Danio rerio: one gene and its partner. The protein of the gene in region 1 purifies or fractionates together with the protein of each later gene. This does not show direct contact. Links are inferred from orthologs where the notes say so. Each region holds a gene or a part of one and is shown in the gene's direction. Other genes may lie near its edges.

The links.
Region 2: the proteins of ctif (region 1) and slbp purify together in Homo sapiens (affinity purification with western blotting; 3 studies listed by BioGRID). This does not show direct contact. The link is inferred for Danio rerio from reciprocal best matches to the Homo sapiens genes CTIF and SLBP.

What each region holds. Positions count from the first base shown.
Region 1 is NC_133196.1:3,990,835-4,006,867, forward strand, and holds part of ctif (CBP80/20-dependent translation initiation factor), read left to right. Parts: intron 1-8,257; 5' UTR 8,258-8,292; coding exon 8,293-8,472; intron 8,473-11,774; coding exon 11,775-11,846; intron 11,847-16,033. UniProt on the Homo sapiens protein: Specifically required for the pioneer round of mRNA translation mediated by the cap-binding complex (CBC), that takes place during or right after mRNA export via the nuclear pore complex (NPC).
Region 2 is NC_133189.1:17,112,375-17,126,354, forward strand, and holds slbp (histone RNA hairpin-binding protein), read left to right. Parts: upstream 1-8,034; 5' UTR 8,035-8,122; coding exon 8,123-8,178; intron 8,179-9,068; coding exon 9,069-9,188; intron 9,189-9,393; coding exon 9,394-9,498; intron 9,499-9,638; coding exon 9,639-9,701; coding exon of another isoform or gene 9,702-9,705; intron 9,706-10,590; coding exon 10,591-10,740; intron 10,741-10,857; coding exon 10,858-11,007; intron 11,008-11,821; coding exon 11,822-11,933; intron 11,934-12,029; coding exon 12,030-12,089; 3' UTR 12,090-12,510; downstream 12,511-13,980. UniProt on the Homo sapiens protein: RNA-binding protein involved in the histone pre-mRNA processing.

The sequences.
Region 1 (16,033 bases):
ACAGGAGTGGCACCCAGTGTGGTCTTCACCTGCTGTAGCCCATCTGCCTCAAGGTTGGACGTGTTGTGTGTTCAGAGATGCTCTTCTGCAGGTTTTGGTGAGCCTGTGTGAATTGTAGCCTCAGTTTCCTGTTCTTAGCTGACAGGAGCGTTACCCGGTGTGGTCTTCTGCTGCTGTAGCCCATCCACTGACTGGATATTTCCTCTTTTACCCTTAGAGATGGTTGTGCGTGAAAATCCCAGTAGATCAGCAGTTTCTGAAATACTCAGACCAGCCTGTCTGGCACCAACAACCATGACACGTTCAGTCACTTAAATCCCCTTTCTTCCCCATTCTGATGCTCGCTTTGAACTGTCTCAACCATGTCAATGTGCCTAAATGCATTGAGCTGCTGCCATGTGATTGGCTGATCAGAAATTTACGTTTACAACAGTTGGACAGGTGTACCTAATAAAGTGGCCAGTAAGTGTATTTGCATAAATATAAAAAATTAAGTCGGCTTTTAACTTTTAAGACTGTAAGCGAAAAGTTAAATAACATGTATTTTTCAGTAACACTACTTGAAGGGAAGTTCATAAAGCTGTGTTCACACCAGATGCGGAACCGCGGATAAATCACGCCATTTAAGTAAATAGTCGCGTGAACATTTGAGTTTGCTCGCTTCATTCGTGTGTCAAACCCCGCTTCATTCACACATCAAATTCACTTCAGAACAGACGCGGATTGGCATTATAGGCAGGGCTTCTGTCTGCCCAATGATTCTAGCTTTGTTACTAAATGGTGAACATGCATTTTATGAAGAAAATAACTGTTTATGTGCTTTATGAAGGCTGTAAAACAGCGTTGATACGTTTAGGGTTGTGTCTGAGTCCACTCAATTCTTTTCAGAGGTGCATCCAGCTCTATGAGCTCATAAACTCCTCCAGAAACTGAACCTAGTTGATGGAGGCTTTCAGCGGGGCTTCTAACTGATTCAGTTTGATGAACTTTTTGTTGGTGTCGGCTGAAGGATTTCCCCCAGGACACCTACAACAGGCGATACGTCACAATCACGCCCCCACAAGAGCAAGCTCCTGATTGGTTAACGCAGCGCGAATGACCACTGAAGTTCAGATTTTAAACACGAGCGGTTTGCGCGCTAACAGCAAAACGCTCCATTTGCGCATATCGCGCTATTCGCACCTAGCCATTCGCGCTATTCACTCCACACCATTCGCAGCACGCCATTCGCGCGTTTGCATTGACTTAACATGTAAATCACTCCCGCTTGATCCCGTTCCGCGTCTGCTGTGACGCAGCATTAGACTAAAACTACTCATTAAGTGTCATTCGCTCACTTATGTCATTTTAAATGCAAAAATGTTTTATTTTTATATTTATATACATCGTATATCCAATGTCCATCGGGAGGGTGCTATCGCAATTCGACCTGTCAGACAAACGCCGCTCAGTTTAACGTTAATTTTGCAGAATTACTGTTCTCATCACTGGGTGACAAGCTGTTATAATACGCTGGAAGCATTGTTTAAATAATATGTAATCAATATAACTTCTCTCTAAGACAACAACAAACTCTTTACCGCATCGGATGTCATTCCCTTGCTGTAAATGCTAGCGCTCACGTTTTTTATTTTCTGAAACCTTGATGTGCGCACATCCTGATTATTTAAAAACCGATAATTCGCCCACAGTATATGTCAGTGACCTACACAGTTCTATCCAAACACCTTTAATAAAGTTGATTTTCATCATAGGTGCCCTTTAAATTTCATTCTGTATGGTCTTACAGTCTTAAATATATCTCTTAGAAGTGTGCAGATACCCTGAATAAACTGACTTTGACGTGTTCTGGAATGTGAATAGTGAATATCGTGTTTGATTGTTTTCTTGTTGAATTCTCCTGTAGTGTGTTTTATTGTGGGGATTTCTGCGTCTCAGACTGCTGTGGTCCATTAGTCAAGAGCCCGAGGCTCAGTCTGTGCGCTGTCAGACACATTCACTCATTTACACTTGACATGATGATATCCGGAGGGAGAAAATCCTGCGTGAAATGAGACGCATTCAATAGGACCAGAACCGTCTGAGTGGCTAATGGAAAAGCCCTAATGAGAGCCCAATTAATCTTATTTCTGGCTGCAATGATTTCAGCCCAATTGTGCTCATTTCCCAGCAGTGTGTTCAAGACTGCTCATTAGATTAAAGCCGCTGTAAACACCTATTTCGAGAATTGCTTTGTTTGCAATCATTTATATTGATTGTGATCTGATTTGTAATTTAACGATGGGATTTTATCTCCGCTTTCTGTGCGTGTATAAGGACCAATAAACGGTATTATATTAAATCATTGAAATTGATGTCAATAACGATGAAAAGCTCTTGACTTTTTACTCTATATTGATCTAAAAGCGGGACATTTGGAGGCGCAGTCGGTAATGCTTTCGCCTCACAGCAAGAAGGTTCAAGCCTCAGCTGAGTCAGTTGGCATTTCTGTGTGGAGTTTGCATGTTCTCCCTACGTTCACGTGGGTTTCCTCTGGGTGCTCTAGTTTCCCCCACAGTCAAAAAATGCGCTATAAGTGAATTGGGTAAACTAAAATTTATAAGTAATTATGAGTAGGGCGGGAAGTTTCGGGAGTCTCCTGGATGCCCACAAACGAGCGATAATCTCGCGCCTCCCTCCTGGTCCACAAATATGTTGCGCACCCTTCTCACCCCTCCCCACCGCATCTCTCCTCGCTCTTCAGACACGTCGCGCGCACCGTGTCAAACACCACCAAACCACCACCCCCCGACAGCTAAGCGGGACTCTGCAAAATAAACCCTGAAACTCTGATCAATGAGAGGAAAGTTTACTCGCACATGACTTGTTTTAGCTCTTTTGGTCCGTTTAGACACTTTGCTGTGTGAAATCGAACCGCACCAAGAACAAAGAGCAACAATGTAACAATTGTAATCCCTGTTTCGGAACAACTGAATCAATTCACAGGTGTGAAAGCACCCTAATGCTGTGTTCACACCAGACGCGGAACGCGTGGATAAATCGAGATATTCGCGCGTAAATTGCCGCGTGAACATTTGAGTTTACTCGCTTCATTCGGGCGTCAAACCCCGCTTCATTCGGGCGTGAAATCCGCTTCATTCGCGTGTCAAATTCACTTCAGAACAGACGCGGATTCGCGTGATGAGCAGGGCTTCTGTCTGCCCGGTGACTCTAGCTTCATAGCTAAATGACTAACATGCATTTTTTTAAGAAAATAACAGTGTTAATGTGCTTTATGGAGACTGAAAAACAGTGTAGATACGTTTAGGGTCCTGTCTGAGTCCACTGCATCCTTTCAGAGGAGCATCCAGCTCTGAGCTCATAAACTCCTCCAGAAACTGAACCTGGATTACGGAGACTTTCAGCAGTGCTTCTGACAGAATCAAGCCCAGTTTGATGACTTGCTGTCGGTGTCGCCTGGAGGATTTGCCTCGGGACACCATCAACAGGTTCTACGTCACAATCAAGCCCCCACAAGAGCAAGCTTCTGATTGGTTAACATGGCACGAATGTCCGCTGAAGTTCAGATTTTCGAACTCGAGAGATTCGGCAAACGATCAATTCGCCTCGCGCGTATCGCGCTATTCGCACCGCGCCATTCGCGAAATTCTCGTCATTCGCTCTGCGCCATTCGCGCCGCAGGATGTCTATTTGTGCGTTTGCATTGACTTAACATGTAAATCACTCGCGCTTGATGCGCGTTCCGTGTCTGGTGTGAACGCAGCATAAAAGTAATGTGTGTGTGTGTGTGTGTGTGTGTGTGTGTGTGTGTGTGTGTGTGTGTGTGTGTGTGTGTTTGTTTGTGTTTGTGTGTGTGTGTGTGTGTGTGTGTGTGTGTGTGTGTGTGTGTGTGTGTGTGTGTGTGTGTGTGTGTGTGTGTTGTGGAGTCAGCAGAGGTCAGAGATCTCCAATCCTCATTAAAGCTGTCCAGCTCAATCTACTGATAATCAAAAACTCTCACGCTCATCTGCTGATGTGCTTTCTCACACTCTTCTGTGTTTCCCTCAGCTGTCATCTTCAGTGTGCATGTGTGTGTGTGTGTGTGTGAGTCATACTGTCATTACAATCAACAGCTGATATCACAGCACACACACGCACTTCTGTCACACATGAACACCTTTTGTTTACATTCTTTGTGGCTGATATGCAGAAGTCCACCAATGCTGCATTTGTTTTGATTATAAACTGAATTTACAGCATCATCATTACTCGAGTCTTCAGTGTCACGCCATCTTTCAGAAGATATTATAAGATCAAGATTTCATCATCAAGAAATATTTCTGATTGTGATTAATGTTGAAAATAGTTTTGTTTCTTCATATGTCGGTGCACTGTAAATATCTGTTCTTTTAACAAGTGTTTTCAGTTTATTTACTGGTTGTGAATTGCATTATGGGATGTTGATCTCTGCTCTGTCCACTTTTGATGTTGGAAATTTAACTCTACAGTTTAACAAAGTAACTTTTATTAACATTTTAGTAATTTTTAATAATATAATGTATGAGAAATAGTGTTGTAAAATAGCAAAAAAATGCACTGTCAGTGTTATTACAAGGTTGACGCGTAGCCCTTCCGTTGGCGTCACTGACGCGTACCTCTCAAAAAATGTAACTACACATCGCAATGACGCGTAGCACAAGCTCTGTGATTGGTCTGCTTGGGAGCGCTGACAAGTCAAGGGTGGGACTGAGAGCCGCGCGAGCAGCACGAGCCCAATGGAGCGATTGTTTACAAGTGTGGAGTCCCGTGAAGGAGCTCATGATGGAAAGTTTTGTTTTGTGTTTACCTCATAGTTAAAGTCTGCCGGTTCCTGCCTCAAAATGAGCGAGTTTGAGCCACTTGTACATCCAGGAAGTGTTTAGGAAAAGCAAAACAGCAGCGAAGAAACTCAACAAAGAGGAACATTTACACCTCACTGCCCACTAGCGTTTCGGAAGTGTTAATGCAGACCAACAGAGACAGCGCGCATAAGTATAAATGCACAGCTACGCGCGTTGCATGCGTCGTGGGTTACACCGGTCACTTGACGCAGAAGTATAAATCAGGCTTAAGATAAATGAAAAAATAATATGATTTTCTACAAGTGAAGCATGAGCCTTCATTGCCTTGCATCTTATAAATGCAACCAAGCCTTAAAATTACATTCTAGACCGCCCCCTAAAACAGGGGTTTTAAACTTTTAGGACACGCGCCCCTTCTAAGTTTGTCCAATTTCACTCGCGCCCCCCCAAGCACCCCTCCCTAGAGCCAAAATTACAATGCATATGCAGACATCATTCACATATTACTTGTTGCGTTTAAAGTGCTTAGCGTTAATTACGTTGAAACATAAATATACATCTTACCTGGTTCAGTGTGATGGCTGAGACTGTTTCTGTGAGGACAACATGCTAATCTGTGGTCGGATTCCTGAAACGACTAATTGTAAATCATCACCTACTTGCTTTCGATGTACGTACATACGAAAAATGCTGCTCCACGAAGCCAAGTTGGCAGAGCCCTGACAGTGTGGAGTCGAAGATTGAGTATGTTTACAGTACATGGGCAACAATACAATTTCAATATGATTAAGACAATACTCTTGATTAAGAGTCTACCATGTAAATGGCACTTTTTAAAATTTATTTTATTTATTTTATTACCTTAATGCGACTAAAGTCATAACTGAACTAAACAGAAATGGAATTAAGACATGTGCAGTATGCAGATATTAGTGGCATTATTGAAGTAAACACCCCAAGCAAACTATTACCGTTATGTTGGACTTTTCAACATATTTTCCGACAAGATCCACCCACGTGGCTGTCAGTAACGGACTGCACACACACACATCGCAAAATGCGGAAGTTTTTTTTTTTTTTCTTCCATTCGACGTGCGGTATCAATAAATACAACACTCTTCCACCAGTCCTTCATATTCGCATCAAATATCCCAGTTTGTCATGGGGGCATGAATGAAATGTTCATGAGTAAAAGTTAAACTGCGGAACTGCAGGTAAAGTCAAGAAATTAAAGATGAAACACCAAGAATTGCATTAGGAGACTTGTGACTTCACGCAAGAAATGTAAATAGGTGACGCAACAATCAAAAAACACTTCACGTTATTCTATCATTGTCTTATTCAGATTAAGACAAATAACTATTACAGATGTCCATGTAAGCGTAGTCAATAGCGTCTTCCAAGTATTTGAAATATCCAGAAGGGCACTTTTTTTTGTCAGACGGCTCAATGCTTTGACTTTCATTCATTCACTAGTTTTAAAAAGCACTCGGTCCATTGTTTTTGTGTATGTTTCACTGGAAAGCATAAACTCTACAGGTGCCTGATAGTTAGCTGTGGAGCTAATGATAATCATATTACTCCCTCTAGTGAACGCATAAAAATCGTCATCATATTTTACTCTAGTGCGCGCCTCAGAGTGCACGCCTCAATGTCTCCCCCCCCCCCCCCCCCCTTAATAGGTGCTGGTGCCCCCTGGTGGGGTGCGCCCCACAGTTTGAAAACACTGCCCTAAAGTATTTATAACTATATTAAAAGTTATCTTGTTTAAAAAAAAATGTATGAAGACTCCTCTATCCTCTATCCAATATATAAATATTAGACATATTTATTCTTTTTCAAATATTTCCCATGTGATGATTAACAGAGCAAGGACGTTTTTTACAGTATTTCCTATTACATTTCCACTTGTGGAGAAATAAAGTCTTATTTCTTTTAGTTTGGTGGCTCAGTGGTTAGCACTGTCGCCTCACAGCAAGAAAGTGGCTGATTCGAGTCCCAGCTGGGTCAGTTGGCATTTCTGTGTGGAGTTTGCATGTTCTCCCAGTGTTGGCGTGGGTTTCCTCTGGGTGCTCCGGTTTCCCTGACAGTCCAAACACATGTGCTATTGGGGAATTGGGTAAACTAAATTGTCCGTATTGTATAAGTGTGTGAACAAATATGTATGGGTGTTTCCCAATACTGGGTTGCAGCTGGAAGGGCATCAGCTGTGTAAAACACATTCTTGATAAGTTGGCGGTTAATAAATAAAAGGACTAAGCTGAAGGAAAATGAACGAATAAACATGATGAATATTCGCACAAAGGATTCATTGACAGATCACGGGTGGTACAGAGAACAATTGCTAAACCAGTCAAATGATCTTAAATACCAGCAGCTCTGCTTTTGAAGGCGTAAGACCGTTGCGTGTTATTATGGATGTGTGCTGGTAAGATGCTGCTGCTCCAGTTGTAAATCCTCTTTGCTTGGACACGATTCAAGTAGTGACTTAAAACCAGATTATACTCTCTCTCTCTCTCTCTCTCTCTCTCTCTCTCTCTCTCTCTCTCTCTTTCTATTTTACCTTGAGACTTCATTAGGTAATGTGAAGCTCAGTGGAAGGCATAAGTATAAAGTGTGAAGGACTCGAGGGCCTGTGCTTCATTTTAGTGAAGCATTTTTTTGTGGGATTATTTGTCCTTTAAGTCGTGCACGAACTGAAGACTTGCACAGTTACATTACTTTTCTCCTTTGTGTTGTCAAGTTGTTCTGTTCAGTTTGTACATGTAAGTTACTTTGTCGAGAACTTCATCTCATCATTTCATTTCTGAAGCGAGGAAAGCTGATTTAAATGCCTAAGAACAAGTTTAATACAGATTAAAACATTTCTCCAAGTCATCAAAACAATTTGAAATGTTTTAGTATTTTAACAATTCTGACGTTTTCACCCCCTGAAGTAGTTCTGAAGCAGTTTTTATTTTAAAACCATTTTAAGGTGAATATTATTAGCCCCCGTTTTTAAAATATATTTGTTTTGGATTGTCTGCAGAGCAAACCACTGTTATACAATGACTTGTCTAATTACCCTAACTTTACCCTAATTAACCTAGTTAAGCCTTTAAATGTCACTTTAAGCTGAATACTAGAATCTTGAAAAATATGTGCTGTTGTCATGGCAAAGATAAAAGAAATCAGTTATAAGAAGAGTTAAAGAAACCATTATGCTTAGAAAAGTGAAGAAAATGTTAAGAAAATCTTTTCATCAAACTGAAATTGGGGTAAAAATATACAGGGGGGCTAATAATTCTGATTCCAGACGTATAACGACTCTACTAAATATTATTCTAAATAATATAAATAAATATTGTTCTAAATAATTATTCTAACTATATAGTCATTCTTAAAGATTGTTGTTATTAGGGTTTGTGTCACTAACTTCCTCTTTGCCCTGCCCGCAGCTCCCTTGCTCCTCCCTCACACTGGGCCGGTTGCTATGGAGAGCTCATCGGTGGCGTCAGCGTCGTCAGAGGCGGGTAGCACACGCTCGCAGGAGATCGAGGAGCTGGAGCGCTTCATCGACAGCTACGTGTTGGAGTACCAGGTGCAGGGACTGCTGAGCGACAAGAACGAAACAGACCCCGATGTGGACAAGACCCTGTCCCACACCTCACAGGTACCACGTTATATATACTGATACTGTATTATAGCCCATTTCCGCTGAGTGTTATGGTACGGTTTGGTATGCTTTTGTGGCTGTTTCCACTGTCAAAAGGTACCAAAAAAGCGAATCGCACTGTAGCACTTTTTGGGTATTCTTTCGGAGGGGTATCGAACACGATGAAATGGTACCAAAAGGCGGAGCTAAACATGCAGCTGAACGCTATTGGTTTACAGAGAAACATCAATAGCTCGTACACAAGCAGGAGAATGAAAACAAAGGAAGCGCTATTTTTAAATACACAGCAGAGACATTACACCATAATGATATATACATTTAATAACAAGCCATGGTCAACCCGAGCTTAAACGAACCTTGTCGTGTCTTGATGAACAACCACAAAGCCAAGAAGAGCAGAATCTACCATTCTCGTGTACGCTCGCAGCATGTTTATATTTGAAATAACAAACTTCTTGAGCCGATTAAAATCATGTGCTCGTGATTATTGAAGCGCTTCTGACATCTGATCCTTTCAGAAATGGACAAATGACGCGTGACGAGAGTGACATGTAAAAAAAACAAAGAAGAAAATGATTCTTTCAGCAGCCTGAAACATGATCAAACTGCCATATTTAACTATCATCATTACCTTCTGGACTATTATGAACTCAGAATGAAGAAGTTAATTTCTTACAGAGTTTACATGTGCTGGTCAAGATTAAAGATACAGATGAGTGGTTTGCTCTGACTGTGGGCTATACTATGATCCAATCCCAATTCTACCCCTTAGCCCTTACCCCTACCCCTCAATTTTGCGCGTGCACGCCAAGGGGAAGGGAGGTCCCAATTCTCTTTAGCTTGAAGGCGTAGGGCTAAGGGGAAGAGGTGAAAAGCTCTTCGACGAAGATTTTTCAGGACCACACTTGAAACCAAGGGGTAAGAAAATTTCCCAGAATACACCATCAACAGCGGCAGTATTGCTGAACGCGGAAATAAGGAGATCCACAAATTAGTATTTTTTTTGTCATTATTATGAATTTTTATGACCAACAAACATATGTTTTAACATATTCATGACCGCGTTCGTGTTTTACCCTCATGCTTTAAAAAAACCACAAAAAAACGCAAACTTTCGCGATCTATAATCCCTATTGATAACTCCTGTACAGCAGTCCCACAGCATTCTGACACTCAAATACCCTGTCAGTAATGTCTAGTGGCTGTCAATGAGCTTTTTACAGTGTCTGCTATAATGTTAATGTTGTTTTTGGTGTTTTTATGTAGATGAATATGGCCACTGTGTAAATACTCAGTGCAGTTACGATCTTAATGCCACATTAGATCGTTATGATGACATAATACATGCCTTCAGTCGTCTCCTGAAGATAAATACCAAAAAATAACACAACTGGAATCACTACAGCAGTCGCCATTGTCTGATCTCAGAGGAGAAGCAGGAGATCGCGAGGACATATGATGGCGTGTGCAGGTGCTGTAGTGCTGTCCTAATTCTTAGGGGTAAATTTTGAAGCCCTTCCCCGTAACCCTCGGTTGTGAGGGCCAAGGGAAAGGGGTAGGGGTACAAAAATAGAATTGGAATTGGGCCTATATGGTCTGTGTTGTTTTTGAACCCATATAAGGACTGAATGTCTGCTGTGTGTAGTTTTTCTGTTTTTCAAAAGCAGAAGAGGTGAAGAGGTGGTCTCAGTCGCTTTTAAACGAACCCTGGAGTGTTTCGTTTGTGGTGAGAACATGATCCGACATAAAAACAGACCCAACCGCAAAAAGTACTGCGCCTTTTTGGACTAATCCAGCTGCCATAGTCCGATGTGCTGTCCCATCTTATGGGATGTAGAGGAAAAATATTTGTTGACTTCGCTTTAACGACAGAGAGAGAGAGGGAAAAACATTACCTAATGGATCGTTGGTAATATTTCCGGAAGATGACCATGCTGCAGTTTAGCTAAATTAATTCATACGACGTGCAATGCACCTTCGCCATCTGCAATACATTAAAACATTGTTTTCCAGCCGCAGTTCTTTCTCGAAATGTATAGTTTGTCTAAAGTGATTTATATAAACTATGTAGTATACTGTGAGCAGGGATACAGTCAGCCAGCTTAGTCGTAACTGCATAGTATAAAGCGACTTTCTGTGTCTGCCGGTTCGTTCACTTGCGGGAGTTCCATTGGCATTTTCCTGCACATTAATTCTGACCAATCGCAAAGCTGTTTAGGAAATACGTTCAATAACATCTGGCTATTGAGTGATGTGGATTTTGTCACATGACTGCATTTTGGTTCTTTTCAACTGGTTCAGACCAAAGCAATCAGTGTGGTGTGAAAAGGACCCAAAAACGGCAGAAAATGGTACAATGCATCGTGTGTTGCCCTTGCTGACCAAACTAACTGAACCATAGATGTGAAAGCACTCTTAAAGCTGGGAATATGTATGATGTATGAATATAGTGAATGATTTTGGATCTAGCCTTAGCCCCACACCTCACATGTTAGGGTGCTTTCACACCTACACTTTTGTTTCGGAACCTGTCTCGTTTGCCCAGTTAGCGTGGTTCGTTTGGCATATGCAAAACCACCAATCGTGCTCGGATCCGCACCAAAACAATCGCTCCGAGATCGATTGAATGAGGTAGTCTTGGCTCGATTGAAACGAACTCTGGAGTGGATCGATTGCAGTGAGAAAGCAATACAATTCGAGCGCGGTTATATCACTGTGTTTTATGGATATGTAATAGGCATACGGCTAAATAAGGAAAAAATTAAGAGCAGGGTGGAAGGTCATTACAGAGATCCAAAGTCTCCCGGATGTTTCGTTAGTCTCCTGAAACTGCACAGAGACTCCCAGGTGCCCGCAAACGAGTGATAATCTCCCGGAAATCGCGCATCTCCCTCCTGGTCCTCAAATACGTTGCGCACCCTTCTCACCCCTCCCCACCGCATCTGTCCTCGCTCTTCAGACACGTCGCGCGCACCTTGTCAAACACCAGCAAACCACTACCCCCCCCCCCCTGACAGCTGAGCGGGACTCTGGAAATTATCTCTGAAACTGACCAATGTGAGGAGAGTTTACTCGCACGTGACTAGTTTTAGCTCTTGTGGTCCAGTTAGAAACTTTGCCGTGTGAAAGTGAACCGCACCAAGAACAAAGAGCAACACAGGTTTGAAAGCACTTTTAAACTACAACAAAAAAAAATGTCCAACACCTGAAACTATTTACAGTAAGATTTTTCTTTCTCTCTCGCTCTCTCTTTCTCTCTGTTTGTGTGTGTGTGTCTGTACATGTGTCTTTTCCTTCAGTGGACAGAAGACTGCAGTGATAAGATTGACGGGAGCTGGTCATCTTCACGGGGAAGAGGCTCATCCAAACCAGTGAGTTTTTTGTTAGGGTCTGAATGACTTTAGATTTTTGGTGGTTGATTTTCATGTTTTCAAAGTCGAGTCGATGTCGACTATTCGCTCATGACGTCATCAATAAAACACAAGATGCACATTTGAATTCATCTTTATTTCTGTAGTGTCAAAGCAGCTTAACGTGGAAGCTCTAGTAAAATGAGAATGTGTCAGTCCAGTTTTCAGAGTTGAAGTTCAGTTTAGTTTTGTTCAGTGTGGTTTAATTTTCACTGCTGAAAGTCCAAACACTGAAGAGTAATCCATCGATGTGCAGCTCCACAAGTCCCAAACCAAGCAAGCCAGTGGTGAAAAACAAACTTCCCCAATTAACGAAAGTGAAGGAAACAAATCCTCAAGAGAAACCAAGCTCAGTCGGGCATGACCATTTCTCCTCTGGCCAAACTTCTTTAAATGTTTAGCAACACGCCACAATTTGCTATTCATTTACAGGAAATATATACACATGCTGTTTGACAGCTCATAACACGTTGCAAAAACAACGCAACATTACCAATGACAAATTTTTTTGACTATTTTGATACTTCAGCTCATCCATCGACATGATTTCTGCCAGAGTCCTGCATGATGTAATGAAGACCACAACTCCCATGATTCCACACTCAAGTCACCATCATCGCCAAACTACAAATTAGTTTGTTGTGAAAAGACGCCCTCTAGTGGCCACAATGTGAGTCATGCGAGTGACATTTTAATCCTGCCTTCATGTCAGAAAACTAGGGCCAGGCGGAATCTGCGGACTTTTTTTGCTATTTCTGCGGAGAATTTTGGTATTTTGGTTTCTGCAGAATTATTTTGGGAGTATGAGAACTAAAACCTTAACCAGTTAACTCCACGAACCCTGTACCGGGTTTATTTACACTTAAATACACAGTATTCTGGATACCCGAGCTGGGTATTGAACATTGGTTCATCTTCATATTTTTCATATCTTGCCGGTGCTCATTCGGTTTTAGCGTTCTTTTTACTGAATTATATTCACATTTTAAACAGTTGCCGAATGAATCGCGGTGTTTCAATGGCGTAGAAGTGAAAACAATACATTTATGATCATTAAGCAGCCCCAGATAGCACAGACAGCTGTCATCTCTTACCTTATGCTGTGTGCTTCAGGGCCATTTCTCCTCTGTTTTTGAGATGATGTGCATAAGTAATCCTTTTATATGTCTGATGTGGTCCAAACACAGTGAATTATGTTTGATCAAACAAAAGAATAGTGAAATATGAAAATGCTTTTACATTTGGGTTGGCAAATTCTAGGCGGAAATCCCAAAATAGCAGCAGAGTTTAACTGGTTAATTTATGAAATAAAAAGTAATACATTTTTAACTTTTATTTAATGTTTGTAATGCAAATCCAATTAGATTAACTTCATTTGGTAAACAAAGCAAGTCTCTCATAATATCTCTACTAAAAGACAGAAAATATTTCTGTACACACTGCATTGTGCATAAATCAGATGAACATTTTCATAATAGTCAATAATATTACTGTGATTAATTTAAAAACTCAATAAATATACATTTACACACATTTACTAAAGTAAATAAACAGAATTAATGATCGGCTGGAAATCAGAAGTGAAACGATGTCATAGATGTTGGCAGGATTTTTAATTAGATATTACTAGAGCGTGTGAATTGGATCAAATGATATGCATGGATAAACAATAAATTAAGCAATATTCCATTTATAATTAATTGTTTTGCATTTTGCATTCGTGGTGACTCGCATACGGTTCGTGCGACGCATTACTGATGTTCCCTCATTAGTGACACTGGAGCAGGCTAAAGCTGTCAGCCATAAGGGTAATCTGTGTGTATATTAAATATTAAAGCGGGCAGACGTGAGAAGGTCAGATGCCCTGCCTTCTGTGCGTGTGTGATGGGTGTGTGAGAGATCATTGTGAACAGCACAGTGACGGTATTGTAGTCTGAGGTCATGACCTCTGCATCGCTGTGATGATGTCACTCAATCCCTGCTCTGAACGTTTTCACTGATGTCATGTGATGTAGTTCTGCACATGCTCGGTAGAATCTGATGAACTCGTTTCGAATGAGCTGAAAGACTCATTTGCTTTACGTGTGCAATTGAGCATCCTGCTTTTCTCTTAAAGCTTGTAAACATTTGGTGGTGGGCGACAAGGCGGCGCAGTGGGTAGAACGATCTCCTCACAGCAAGAAGGTCGTTGGTTCCAGTCCCGGTTGGGCCGGTTGACATTTCAGTTTGCATGTTCTCCCCGTGTTGACGTGGGTTTACTCCGGGTGCTCCGGTTTCCCCCACAGTCCCAACACATGCGCCGTATTTGGGTAAGCTAAACTGACCATAGTGTATGTGAGTGAATGCAAGAGTGTATGGGTGTTTCCCAGTGATTGGTTGTGGCTGGAAGGTTTGTTACAGGCTGTTGTAGACTATATCACTATTGTGAACTCTATGCCAAAGCTGAGTGGCCTTCTCTGTATGTAAGACAGTACACCCACTGGATGACTCTAGTCTACAAGGCTCTTCTAAGTCTGGTGCCTTTATACCCAAGTTCCCTTCTTTATAGGTCAAAAAGCCAGTGTGCCCTACGTTCAAGTGAACCTTATAATTTGACTGTTGCAGGGTTCGAACTTAAATGTGGAGGCGAGCCTTTAGTTAATCTGAACTTTAGCGGACATTCAAGCCGCGTTAACCAATCAGGAGCTTGCTCTTGTGGGGGCATGATTGTGACGTATGGCCTGTTGTGGCTGTCCCAGGGATCCTTCAGCCGACGCCGACAACAGTTCATCAAACTGGGCTTGGCTCAGTCAGAAGCACCGCTGAAAGCCCCCGTCATCCAGGTTCAGTTTCTGGAGGAGTTTATGAGCTCATAGAGCTGGATGCACCTCTCAAAGCATGTAGTGGACTCAGTCACGGCCCTAAACGTATCAACGCTGTTTTTCAGCCTTCCTAAAGCACATAAACACTGTTATTTTCTTCATAAAATCCATGTTAGCCATTTAGCTATGAAGCTAGAGTCACCGGGCAGACAGAAGCCCTGCCCATCACGCGAATCCGCGTCTGTTCTGAAGTGAATTTGACACGGGAATGAAGCGAATTTGATGCGCGAATGAAGCGAGTAACCTCTAATGTTCACGCGGCTATTTAAATAGTGCGATTTATGCGCGCGCTCCGCATCTGGTGTGAACGCAGCATGACAGTAAATATGACATTTTTGTTAATTAGTAAATAAGTATTTATAATAGTCTCCAGAGGGAAACGGTAAAACTCTAGGCAAGGCAAGTTTATTTCGATAGCACATTTCATACACAGTGGCAATTCAAAGTGCTCACATAAACAGGAATAAATGTGTTAAAAAGTGTGACAAAATAATATAAAAAAGACATAATGCCATCTGCGGGATGTAGCACAGTGCTCATTCAGTAAAGGCACAGCTAAACACACGTGTTTCAGTCTTGTTGTGAACATACCTAATGTTGGAGCACATCTGATAATTTCTGGAAGCTGATTCCAGCAGCAGGGGGCGCTGTTAGTAGCTGAAAGCCGATTCACCCTGCTTTGACTGAACTCTTGGAAGTTCAAGTGTATTTGATCCTAAAGTGATCTGTTGGGTTTGTATTCAGTGAGCATATCTGTAATGTATTGAGCTCCTAGGCCATTTAGTGATTTATAGGGCAGTAATAATACTTTCAAATCTATTCTGAATGTAACTGGGAGCCAGTGTAGAGACCTGAGGACAGGAGAGATGTGCTCAGATTTCCTGGTTCTAGTCAGAATCCTGGCGGCAGCATTCTGGATGAGCTGCAACTGTCTGACTGTTTTTTTGGGAAGGCCAGTGAGGAGTCCATTACAGTAATCCACCCTACTGCTGATAAAAGCATGAACAAGTTACTCTAAGTCCTCACTGGAAACAAAGCATTTAATTCTTGCAGTGTTTGAGATGATAGTGTGCTGATTTACTAATTGCTTTGACATGACTACTGAAACTCAGATCTGATTCCAGAAACTCCTGGTGTTTCTTTAAGTCACAGGAATCGATCTATACTTGTTTTATATTGTTCAAGTTTTAGATTAAACCATTTTAGAATAACTGCCACTGTAATTTTTATTTAAAAAATAGCTTTTTCTTTATTTTTGCTGATTGAGAGGAGCTAAAATGCATCCTA
Region 2 (13,980 bases), on another chromosome or scaffold:
ACTTAGTCCACATTAATCAATCACCTTGCGACTTTATGAAAACACACAAATGACAGCTTAATGATTTTCTTTATATTTTTGTACTTTTGTTTGAATGTCATATAACATCACTGGTGATACCTACTTTTTTGGCCAATCTTATGTTTTTTTAATGAAAAATTATTTATTTATCTTTTTAGTGCATAGTCATATTACAGACAATAATGATAACACAAGTAATAAGGAGATTATGTGTTATTTGTTTTGTCAAAAGTGTTTTTAATGACATTGATTATTTTCCGCTATATATATATATATATATATATAATATATTTGCCATAACAAAGAAAATATTTGAAAAACATTTCTAAATGAGTAAAAATGCAATCTTTTAAATCTTAAATCTTGAGTGTAACAGACATAAAAGCATGTAAAATTATCTTTAAAATTATTACACATCGTGACACATTTTGTTAACCTAATGTGTAAAAACACAAATGACACAATGAATTACAAGTGAGAAACATAATGACCTTCAGTGGAGTTACCCATAAGAAAAGTAACACCATTGACAATTTTCATGAAAAATGGATTTCACAAAATGTCTGCTGCAAAGAATCAAACATGTTACAATCATGTATAGCCTACTCACTAAGCTGTGTTTAATCCAGTTATATTCTAGTATTGTTTTAATAATTGTTTAGCATTTAAGATGACAAAGTGCAAATGTTCAAATAACACATTGTTTCATTTTTAAAATATAAAGGGTTTTTCAAGTGTAAAATTTCTGTTAAGTCTAGAAACAGAAAACTGACATTTCAGTAGAATTGTCCATATATACTTTTAATTTTTTAATACCAAAAAGACAATGCAGTACCCTTTCAATTGAAACTGCAAAAAAATGTCCCACTTTCAATGTGCAATGCACAGAAAGAAGAAAATAAAAGTTTAGATGGGGTGTAGTCTCAACCATGTAGACTAGACAATGTTAGTTGTTCTGGAAAGTTGCTGGGATGTAAATATATTCTGAGGGGTTGTTAGGACATTATTTATTTACTTTTTGCAGAAATAAATTTGACTTAAGTTAATTTGATCACATATGTTTCAGTCCACATTTCCATTCCGTCAGTAACAACCCCAATCAAATACAATAGTACAGCGCCATCTGCTGTCTCATCTCATTCATAACTCTAAACGGTGTTTAACAGCATCTGACATATTTAAGATTAAAAATAAACGTTTTTGGCTGTTTATCTACATTCTCGTTACCCTGAATTTTTACATGAGCAAGTAGTATAACTTAGCCACATGAAACGAAAATTATACCTGTTTTAACGTAATATTATGTCTATTGTAATCATGATTTTTGAAAATTAGGTCACTTGTCAGTTTTTTCATAATAAATATACAATCATAAGATCTACCATTATTATTACTTCATCTTTTCTTACATTTTTAAAATTACACTACTGTTCTAGTACCTTATCAGGACTGCTTTTCGAGTCGATTCGAACAAATCTTCGAGAAGAATCAAGGTGCGTTCGACATGAAGCTCAGCTGCAGCCGGTGATCAACGAGATTAGCCGAGCGCAGGCGGGGGCGGAGTTGATAACGGAGCCGTCAAGACGGACAGCTGAACACTTCGGGACTCAAAGTTGCTGCAGTTATGATGACCGATCACATGGCGTCATCATATTTTTTTTGTTATTTTTATTTATAACAACAAAACATTTACAAATAAAACAGAATACAGGCTCTTCAAACTGTAGTTCCTTTTTAAACAATAAGAGAGAATTATGAATAAAATATATAACAAATGCATGAGAGAAATAAGAGGAAATGAGAGGTTAATATAAACATAAAAACGAACAGGTCTATTAAATACAAAGCAATAAGCATAAATTCTAGGAGTTAAACATCACTCTTTAGGCTAATACTTCTTGTTTGAATATGCTAAAAAGGGTTTGCATATATGTACATTTATAGATATAAAATTTCCCATGTAAAAAGCAAAACAAGGTGTTTTGATTAGGTCTTAATAAATGACATTATTTTGGATGATGAATGAATTTTCAAAAAAGCATTTTAATCCAAAAAGATTGTGTTGAAAAGAACAAAAGGTAAAATAAGTGAGCGATGTAGAAGTTTCCCAGAAAGAGCAGGTAGCCTTTAAACTGCTAGACAGAAAATAAAATATATATTTATATTATAATAATAAAGCCATTTTATAATTATTTAATAAAATAGTTCTTTACTTTAATTTGTTAAGAGAGCTTTAGGGGGGCAGGATCAATGATGATGATTATTTTATTTCAAGTCTGTAAGACTTATTTGAGTTCATATTTAGGTTATTCACTAAAATATACACTAAAATATATCATTTAAATCGTTCATAGAGATGAATGCAGTAAATAGTCTGTATAAAAAAGTTAAAAAATAAACCTGTGCAAACAAGCTAACCTTTATAACCAGATTATTTAACAAAAGATGATACTGCAGTAAAATATTTGTAGTCTTTTAATAAGCAAGATGTGTACAGGATAGAGAGGGTGTGAAAAGTGAAATGTTTGTTTTGAAACTTTTGAATCGGAATTTGTCCAATTATAAACCCGAAATACACGTGTTTGTTGTCATGTGGTGAACTTGGCCAATCGTGTAATATCGGTGTCGTCATCAAAGCTCCTGCAGTCGCTCTTCAGAAGCTGCATGGTCTGAGTTTGCCGTCTGATCTCGGAGCGCTGTCGCGGTACTTTGATGCCACATGTGACAGTCACGTGGCGTCGGCGCAGCATCAATCCGGACAAGATTTCTAACCAGAATGCACCGCTTTAAGACAGATTTCGATCGATCTGCGCAGCGCTGCATGAAGTCGAACGCACCTTCAGTTCACTCGTAAATAGGATGTGGCCACATGATGTCACCACGATCACTCTTCTTCGATGGTATGCAGTTGTAGCTATAAAAGCGTAGTGCCCCCTCCTAAGATCCCTCATTTCGCGATGCCTACTTCGACGATGTGTGGAAGAAATGAGCATAAGAAAACCGAAAGGTTACAAGAAGGTAAAGTTTATCATTTTGATTTATCGCACACACTGTAGGGACGTATAAGCTTCTGAAAGGTAGTTAAATTGATGAGGGCTGTTTGTAAATCCTGTGGGTCAAATGTGTGCATGTTGCATTCGACACGTGGTTTTCTTCTGAGTAACGTGGCTGGTTCTTTGAAGACTTGATTATTTAAACAGGAACATGCCCTAAATGTATATTAATTTTTGCTTGATAACTGTATAGTGAACTTTATTTAAAAATGCTATTTTTAAAGGCAGTTTGATATTTTTTCCCCATTTTAGGTGGCTGACTGGTTTGTGTTTATAACCTGATGAAGACCCTTTGGCTGCTGTAATGCAAGTATGTTATTTTTTTCTTGTGTATTAAAGCCCAGCGGTAGTCAGCTGTGCAGGCCAGACCATGCCTGAGCTAGTGTTACTCTGCTGGAAGAGAAAGGCACTGCCATTTGTGCTCCATCAGGTTTGGCTGTTTTAGTGAATCCTGCTGTGTGGTGCTGGTTATGCCATGTCTTCTGAGAGTGGCCTGTACTCACAAAATGAGGCAGGCCTAGTCTGGAGGCAAACACTCAAGTCAATTGGCTACTGGTGCTGCATATTTGTTTCCATGTTCCTGATGAAGATTGTTTTTCCAGGTTGCACAAGACTCATCTAGAGTACCTCAATCTAGTGGTCTAGTGAATTGAGAGGTAAGTGTTTCTCAATCCAGAAATCAAAAACTGTCAACTTTCTTTGTCTTAAGTGGTTAAAAATAAAATCATTCCATCAGGTCAGGGTGTGCATTTACTACAGGAAGAGCCATGTTGACCTGCTTTAAGTTAGTGTTATGTGTGTACTAATAGTAGGCAATACAGCTCCTAGTAATAAAAATGGTGTAGTGCATTGGCTGTAGTAAATGCAGATCTGATTCAAAAGTAGGAAAACAACACATTTACCTTGTGGCTATCAATGTTGATTTTGTTTTTAAAGTGGCTTTTTCTATAGGAAGAGGGTGTTGACTGTACTGTAAGAAGAGGTGAAATCCCTGTAAAAATCCTAGCGCAGGTAACTTTTTCAGTCATTGTGATCCAAGATGATACCATCATAGCAGAAGCCTTTCTCTGTTGTGATGTCTTTTTAATCTTGGAATATCAAATGCAGGGTTGGCACTGATTTTTGTTGCAATTTTCTTCAAAAATCTGACAAAGAAGCCTGCTACATTTCATTATTTAGTATTTAATGTTGAGATCTGTGTTTGACTTTTTTTTTTTTTTTTTTCCTGTGGTTGTAGGAAAAAAGTGTTGAAGATCAGCCAGAATGACGATTCTCAAACGGTTCAATGTGAATGTAACAAGCGAAACTTCGACTGTGGTGTCAACTTATCTGAATGGAATATGAATGTTCTTGTTTAATTTTTAGTAAATGAATATAAAGACCTGCTCCCTTTTGTGAAGTGGTTTCATGCTGAATATTAAGAATTATCAATGTGTAATGCAATCAATTATGGCTGGTTTTCCATTTAGAAATAGAATAGTCTTATACAGGTTACTGAAAGAATATTTTAAATTGTCAACTGCTTGGACTAGTCTTTTTTGACTTTACACTATTGACCTGGTGTTATTTTATTTATTATTATTATATCTTACACTAAAATAATAAAGGTGTCAACTGAATTTTCAGTTGGGTAAACTATCTAAGCCAGGAGTGTCTGGACTCTGTCCTAGAGGGCCAGTGTCCTGCATATTTCGAACCCCAATTAAACACCTAAACCAACTAATTAAGCTCTTTTTGGGTGTTCTAGAAACTTTCAGGCAGGTGTGTGTGTCAAAGGAAGTTGGAGCTAAACTGCAGGACACTGCCCTCCAGGAAAGAGTTTAGATACCCCTGGTCTAAGCCATAGGTCTCAAACTCAATTACTGGAGAGTTGCAGCTCAGTTATGCTCAAACCCTAATCAATATGTCTGATCCAACTAATCAGTGTGTTCAAAGCTACTTGACACCAATTGAATCTCCTAAATTTGTTTGATCAGCTGTGTCTTGGGGTTTGTGCAAAAAACTGTAGAGCTATGGCCTTCCAGCAGTTGAGTTAAAAGTCACGTCTCGCTAACAGTTTCAGGCTTTGGCGCATTTTGCACTCGCACACAAGCGTACCGTGCCAAAGCCCAAGTGAACCGTGCTTAGGCACACCTCTTCCAACCGGGCCAGGGCTGGCCAAGTAAACCGTGCTTGAGCCCGATTCAGCGCACTCACTTTTCAAACGATCCGGGAAACGGGCCTGAGCACGGTACGGATGGCATAGTGTGAGTAGGCCCTTAAAGACCTATGGTCTAAGCCACAGGTGTCAAACTTGGTTCCTGTAGGGCTGAAGCTCTGCACAGTTTAGTTCCAATGCTAAAACACCTGATCAAACAGTTCTTTAGCATTGTTTGAAACCTACATGCAAGTGTGTAGAAGCAGCGTTTGAATAACCGTGTGCAGGTCCTCCAGGAGCTGAGTTTGACACCCCTGGTCTAAGCAATAAATAACTATGCCACTGGTCCCCTAGTTTGACTTCTTAGAGTTAAGACAATTACAAGAGTGATCTATTGTAAAGTGAGTGTCAAAAAATAAAATCAATAAATCTTGATTTCCTGGAGGTTTGCAGCTCTGCACAGTTTTGCCTTTAACCTAATCAAACGCAGTTGATCTAACTAATTGAGGTGTTCATGACTACTAGTGGCTATTAAGCAGGTGCGAGTTGGAGGTGGTTGGAGCTAAACTGCAGAGCTGTGACTTTTGAGACCTGTTAAAACTGTAGCAATGAGGTCACAATACTGTGCAGCTTTTAGCAACATTAAAAAAATTTCAAGCAGCACTGTACCATAACTAGAAAAGTGGGTTAAGTGTGTACTGCAACATTAAGCATCGGTATAAGCAGTAATTTTTCAAAATTAAAAGCTAGATATTTGCGTCTGTCATCTAATGCCAAGCATTCCAAATATAAGAATAATATTCAACATGTAAAAAGCTAATTTTTTGTACACAATGTCTACATTTATTTTGTTTCATATATGTATCTACATATTAATTTATTTTTCACATTCATATTTTTACTTTTCTTGGTCTCTAACCTACTGAAAAATCCCCCAAAAATTTTGGTATTTATGCTATTAAATATTCAGACTATTTGATTTTTTTTTTATTTGAATATTATGTGCATGTCTGTGTTTTTCACAATCAGGACTAAAAGTCAATGAATTGATTTTTTTTTATTTGAATATTATGTGCATGTCTGGGTTTTTCACAATCAGGACTAAAAGTCAATAAATAAATGACTGGCACTCATATGGCAAAATAAAAAAGACAGTTGTTAACGTTGTCCTGTTCCCCAGTTCTGGTAAAAGACTAGAAACATCCATGTTATAAGTCCTGCAATCTTTTTTAGTCCACCTCATAGTAAAGTGTGTTTGGTTGTACTTTTTAAACTTGAAGTGTATTATGTGCAGTGTATATTGCTGTAGCTGTAAGACCTTTAGTTCAGTGGGTCTCCGTGTTTTTTTTTAAATGGTACATTTCTGCCTCCTACTGGATAGGAGTGTGTAACGCATAATAGTTGGAAAGTAAACCATGAATGGGAGATGATGGATGATAAATAAATAATTAAGATAAAGTTTTATTTACACAAGAGTCTTGAATTATATTGATAAATCCTGTTATCCTGATAAATTCCAAATAAAGGATGAGTAAACTGACAGAATAATTGGTTTTGTATGAGTTTAAAAGTTTTAAGGAATAATGCGTTGCTTATCTTAATGCACTCAAATAATGATCTAATATTCACATTTATTTGTATTGACATATAGGTTTATAGGGTCCATTTTAAAAAGCTGGTTCACTCAAATGTGAAAATGAGCTCCTTCTTCCTTGTGTGCGTGTGTTTGAGTCCTTTGAATTTCTCTCTTCTGAAGAATGCTGGTTGCTGGGATGCATTGACTTCAATTGTAGAAAAAATGGGAGTCAATGGGTCGCGGCAACCAGCATTTTCTCAAATGTTTTCTTTTATGTTTAACTGAAAAAACTCGAATCGAGTTTGAGCAATTAAATGGCGAGTCACGTTAAATGGGAAAAAAACGTTTCACTGATGTATTCAGTAGCCCCTGTTATTTTTGAATATGTTGCACTTACAGGTTGTATAACATTTATTAAGTTCCTAAAATTAGCACATACATCACACAACGTGACTGGTTGAACTGTCCCTTTAAGGTGATTCATTTTTCTTAAAATCCGAAGGGAATTAAGGTTTAAACAAACGGTAATGGTATTTTTCTTGTTTGAAAGAAAGAAAAATTACTGGTGTTTTTGCCACATTAAACCGAAACACATCGACGACGGGAAATTACCTCGGAAGTATTAAAAGGCTATGCATTAATATTTTTCTCTCTTGTTTTGTCGTGACCACGACTAAATTATTGTGAGCCCGAGCAGTTAGGCTATTTTCTCCCTGATCACAAGGCCGGTGCAGACTCACTGGTCAGACATTGGTCAGATAATAATAGTAATAATAATAATAATAATAATAATAATAATAAATATATAAAAGCAAACAAAAAAAACGTGATTACGACATGTTTGTCATAACGTTTTATGTCGAGATCACGAGATAATTAAGTCATCACGAAAAAACAAGAGAGAAAAAATATTTTAATCCATGGCCTCTTGGGGCTTCCTTACATGACTTACTTTTTCTCTTTATTTCTTAATACATGAAAAAATTATTTTTGTGGACCCAGGTCTTTCGTCTGTTTGTATTCCCGCCACGGCGTTCTAAAACGGAAAAAGAAGTTACGCGCTAAACTCGACATGTGATCTATAAACCATAGACCGACCTCAAAGAGCTTAGAATCACCTGATTCTAAGGTCTTTGCAGATTTTAACGAACGGGTACACATGATTTGTGGATCGGCGTATGTGGGTGGATCAAGTTGTGAGATACGTCACTAACACCGCCCCTTAAGTGTCATGTGACATCGATGTTGACGTACACTGCAGGACATTGGCGCGGTTTAATCCAAACCCGGCAGCTGATCGTACGTGCAGGTTCAATTTTACACCCTCTCGAAGCAATGTCTGAACAACAAAAATACAAATACGAAAACGATTACAAATCTAGTGAAGACAGGTAAGAATTTTAAACTATATTTAGTGGTGTGTGCAGTTGTTTTTGTCTTTTCGTGTTTTTTGGCTTTGTGGCTCCGATGTTTGCTAGCATAGCAAGACAACAAAGTATTGTGTTCCTGCTGTACTTCACTATTTTGTCTGTTTTTGGACTATAAAACATTCTTTTTACTTTCATTTGTAACTTCTTCTACTATTTTAGGTCATTAGTTCTTGCAAAATCTCGACTCTTTTATGCAGATAATGAATGAGGTGTGAAGATCTCCCGCCAGTCTTCTGTGTTGTGTTCAGAGTGTAAATGAGAGTTGGCGCCATACGAGCATTACCTCTGGATTCCCTAAATCAGCATTACTTATTTTAGTTTTACTAAAAGTTGTTGTTTTTATTATTTGCAGTGAGTTGTGTGTTGACTGCAGGTTATTTTGTGGCGCCATGGAAACAAAGGTTTCTTCGAGTAGTGATTTAGCTCATTGTGTACGTTAACTGTTAGTTATTAGGAAGTCGCGGTTTTCCGTCGCCATCTCCTTTAACGTTAAGTGTGTAACGAAGTAGATTTGTTTGTAATTATACATAAGCATATTTGGAATATTAACAAGTGATGATGACTTGTGTTGTAAATTGCATTTCTTACTGAAAATGTATTAACCCAAATTTTGATTCGTAATATGCTTTGCTAAGCTCTGTATAAACAACTTTAAATGTGCATTTTATCAGTTCTGTGATAAATTTTTTTTGTAACTCTGCGATTCTAGATTTTTAAATAGTTGTATCTCCACCAAATGTTTATTAATTATATCCATGTGTTTATTGCTTTAGCATTTCGTGTTCATGTTATGTGCAACATTCACTTTTTCACTTTTTTTTTTTCAAATGTATATATATTTTGTGTTAAAGGAACAAAGGAGCTTCAAGGTGGTCACAGTGTAGGAAACGTGGAGCAGATGGTATTCTGAGGAAGTCTCATGCTGATGAAGAGCCAGGCAAAGATCAAAGATGTTCGAAGAGATCAGAAAGGTAACATTTTGCATTGACTTTACAACATACCAATTTCTCAAGAGAGTCAACTGGAGTAGTTTTGTTAGGTTGTGGTTGACATTTTGATTTATTAGATGCATCAAATCTGACCTCTTTGATGAATTTCATTACATTTTAAACTGAGATACAAATGATAGTCGGTTTATTTTCTTATTACTGAACAATTGTGTCTTTTTTTGTGCAGTTTTACAACCCCAGAGAGTGAAGGACCAGTGTCCAGAATAAAAAACTGGGGCGATGAGGTGGAGGAACAGGAAATGCGCACAAATGTCCGGCGTGATTTTCATCGGTCAGTTGCCTCTCTTGAATTAAAAAAAAAATTCTTGCCAAAGTAAATTTTACATTAACAACAATTACAGTATTTTATGTTGCAAATATACAGGTGTACATGGCACTGATAAATCCTTCATTTTATTTATTATTTTTCAGTTACAGAAGGAGGATTCTTGCGAGTGATTTCCCTCAAAGAGACAGAAAAATCTCATCTGGAAGGTTTGTGTTTTAATCAGGGTCGCATTTAGACTTATTCCCCTAAAAGGTGCTCTTATTTGTCCACGTCAAACCATTTTTTTGTTTGTTTCTGCAAAATATTAGCTAACAAACTTTTCCCTTTAAATCTGAGACCCCAGCACTAACTGTGAAATCAATTTAAAAACGTTACAATATATTTCATTGAAAGGATTCTAATCCAAAAATAAATAACTTACTGAGTTTAAAGTTTTATCTTTGGAAGAAACATTTTTATTAGTTTTCAATGTGTGACTAGTGTTCATTTATTATAAATCAGTAGCGATGGCCCGATCAGGTTTTTTGAGTTACTTAATTTTAAGTATCTGGCGATTAACGAAAACCGATCCGATACTTCTATAATAAATAAAAATAAAAGAAGAGCAAAGAAACCGATCCAGGACTTTGCCTGCTTTTAACCATTTTTGCTTCAGAGATGCTATTGATGTCATGCTGCATGCGTTGCTGTTGCTGTGTGAAGTCGCACAGAAAACTGTTCTAGACATGATGCTTCAGGGATAGTTGGAAAGATGTTAATTTAATGTAGGGCTAGTTGAGAAAACAAAAACACTAAATGCTTTTAAGATATAATACATCAGACAAGGGACACAGGCTTAGAAAACATGATTAAATGAACACTACTACTGTCCCAGCATAATATACAAGTAATAACAATTGTAATAAATGTGGTGCTATCAAAACACTATTCTTATTGTTTGAGCATTTTGTTCACCTCAATTTGGACAACCCAATGTGTGAATTTGGGGTGGGTCTACCTGTTTAAGCGTATAATAGCAAATAAAAGTTCAATCTAGAAGTAAGTTTTACAGCAATTTTGACTTGAGTTGTAATCAAGCTTTTCTTGTTCTCCCAGTTCAGACTCCAGAGACTCTAGGGATTCGAAAGAGTCGCCTGCTAAAGGTGACATCGAGACCGATGAGACCACCCTCATCAGAAGACAGAAGCAGATAAATTACGGGAAAAATACTCTTGCGTACGACAGATACATTAAAGAAGTTCCAAAGTGAGTTAAACCATGCTTTTTTTTTTTTTTTAACGAATGTGTCATGCTACCCAGATCTTTTTTCTGCAATTATTTTTTGTACAGCATCAGAACCTTAAAATATAACTCCTCTTTCAGGCATTTGAGACAACCAGGTGTTCATCCAAAGACTCCAAACAAGTTCAAGAAGTACAGCAGACGCTCCTGGGACCAGCAGATTAAATTGTGGCGGGTCAAACTTCATGCATGGGACCCTCCTGCAGAAGAGGGAAGCGACTTTCAGCAAATGTAAGCTTTATTTCCAAAAACACAAAAAAGCTAATAAAATAGGCTTAAATGGGACCTATTATGTCGCTTTTTACAGGATGTTAAATAAGTCTCTAATGTCCTTAGAACAGGGGTGGGCAAACTCGGTCCAGGGGGGCCAGTGTCCTGCATAGTTTAGCTCCAATTCTAATCAAAAACACCTGAACGTGCCAATCAGTGTCTTCATGATCACTAGAAATCTATAAGCAGGTGTGTTTGATTAGAGTTGGAGCTAAACTGTGCAGGACACCAGCCCTCCAGGACCGAGTTTCCCCACCCCTGCTTTAAAGTGTGTAAGTGAAGTTTCTACTCGAAATACAACACAGATATTTTTTATAACCCTTTGAAACTGCTCCTTTTAGGCTTTGATCCAAATTGTGCTTTAAATTCAAATGAGATTGTGCTATTCAAAAGAGGGCGGAGCTATAAGCACCAGCAGCAGATTCAAAACACTAATGACAAAAGGCTGCTTTTCACTCAGGGCTGAATACGCTTATGAGGAAGAGATCTTCTCTAATGGGCAAGACTTCCCCCTTCTGATGGCGTTTACTAAGCGAGAATGTCCATCAAAGTGTTTTTGCAGACTTGTGATTTCTAAAAAAAGAATTAATACATTTTTACCATTAGAGGCTGGCTATATTCACACCACTGTGTTTAAACCACATATAAAAGTGATTTTTACATAATAGGTCCCAATTAAGAAAAACATTTACACATCAGCACAGTGTTAACACTTTTTAAAATTTTTATTGCTACAGTTTTTTTTCTGTTTCTTTAACTCCTTTGTTTGTAACAGAGAGGAGATCGACCTTGGTGAAATTATGGACTTTGAGTTGGATGTGGAAACGACAGAGAATACTGAATCCCAATGCTCATCAAGCAATGGAGCAGCACAGTCTTTACAAGAGGTGATGTTTTTGGCAGACATTATTTATCCAACCATGGTTTTAAACTGGTATTTTTGGACATTACAGTTGTTAACATTCTTATATCATGTGTTACAGGACGCGTTCATGGAAACACCGAAAAAGATGATGAAAATTGAGGATTCCGACATGTCTTGAGCAGCTACACTGAGTGTCTATGAGAGTATTACTGAGCAGCTGAACTGTTTTAATGCACTGTTTGTTTTGAGCATCATTGTTTCCAACAGGTTCTGATGTTTTTGTGATGACAGGTTTTGACAGCTTCTTAAAGAGAAGGTTTTGTCATCATCACTGAATTCACCGTTCTCCACTTTTCTTTTTCGGGTCTTTGGAAGAAAATGTAAATGTGTAAATTTTTGGAATTGTTTAATTTTTATTGTGGAAATCTGTTTAGTGCTTGGTAAACATTCTCTTGTATTTATCAATTTGTTGAATCTCTGATTACAGCAAATATCATATTTTGTAGTTTGTGATTTTAAATGTTCTTTTAGTTCATTTCTTTTTTTTTAATTAAAAACCTTTTGAAAATAAATATTAAATTGGAATGACCAAATAATGGTTGTTGTTGTTCATTTCACTCTTCATTTATTTTTATTTGCTTTCTCTGGATCTCTTAGATGATGCAAAATCCCTCTCATTGCAGCCAGTGTTAGGCGTAATGCATTACAAGTATTGCGAGTTACGCAAGATTTCTAATTAACGAGTAAAGTAGTGCATTATTTTAAGAATATCTGAGTTACTTTTTAAATGTAATGCGAGTTACATTTTAGTTTAGTTTATTTGCTTTTAAAAAATAAATTGCTGAATTTAAATCAATGGAGTCCCTTTGAATCATGCCCTCAATGAGACTGCAGGAGCACAAAAGAAAGTTGGGAGTAACTCTATTCTAATGCATTACTTTCTAAAGTAACATTCCTCAACACTGACTACAGCGACCTGTAGGATTCTATTCAAATTATTTTAATAACGAATAGTTAAAACATGATGTAAACTACCATGTCAAATGTGGAACCACAACAACATATTTTGATAGGAAATGTGTAGATCTGTAATGTTACACAAATTTGTGACTTAAGACTGTTTTCCTTTAAATGATGCAGATGAGCTGGTATTTGCATGTCAGTTTTAGAGAGTCTTTTCTTAAGACAGTAACACATGTGCAACCAAGCTACATATATAAAATAATATATAAAAAATGTTAGTATATAAAATGAAGTGCTAAAAATAGCAGAAGTATTATTTTTGTCATGTATTATTTTTATCAAGTAACATTCTCTTTAATTAAAAAATCCGAAATGATTTTTTTGTTTCAAGATTTCCAACAAACAAATTGTCAATAATACTAAAGAGAAAATATAATTTTGGCGTTCTTAAATGCTTCAGTTTAATTTACAGACCACTCATTCGATATACAGTAATGTATCGTAAGCAACATTTTAATGATACATTTCCTTAAATTAAAATGAGATTTTTAATCCAATGGTTATTTCAAAATAGCAACAACAGATTTGTATTTAAGTTACTTTGTATTAGATTGTCATAATTATCAATCTTAAAAAAAAAAAACTATTTCTTTCATGAGAATTCATTCCGAAATGTGTTTTAACTTTACAGTGGTAAAAACGCAATTTCTGTCTAAGTAGAGAGCGCACTAAAGGATTGAAACACAGCCGGGACTCGGAGCTCTTTCCTCTCATTGGCTCCTTTCTTCTCATGCTATGCTAATTCTGGTGGATGTGCTTAACCCAGGATTAACTAACCTGTTGCCACCAACACAACGTTACCCCTCAAAATAGGCGTCTTCCAATAATAGGGACTGAACTGAAGGGTTATCATGCGTACGGATGCGTCGTGTTATTATTAGCGTGATATTTACGAGCACTAGATTGTCAACAACAGTTAGCCTGTTAGCATTGGTGTAATGATGGAGCATATAGACACAGTGATGAACTTTAAACTGAAACACTGGATTAAATCTCCACCTGGACGGTTTTCGTGTGGTTTCGGTCATAGGTAAGTATTAAATTGG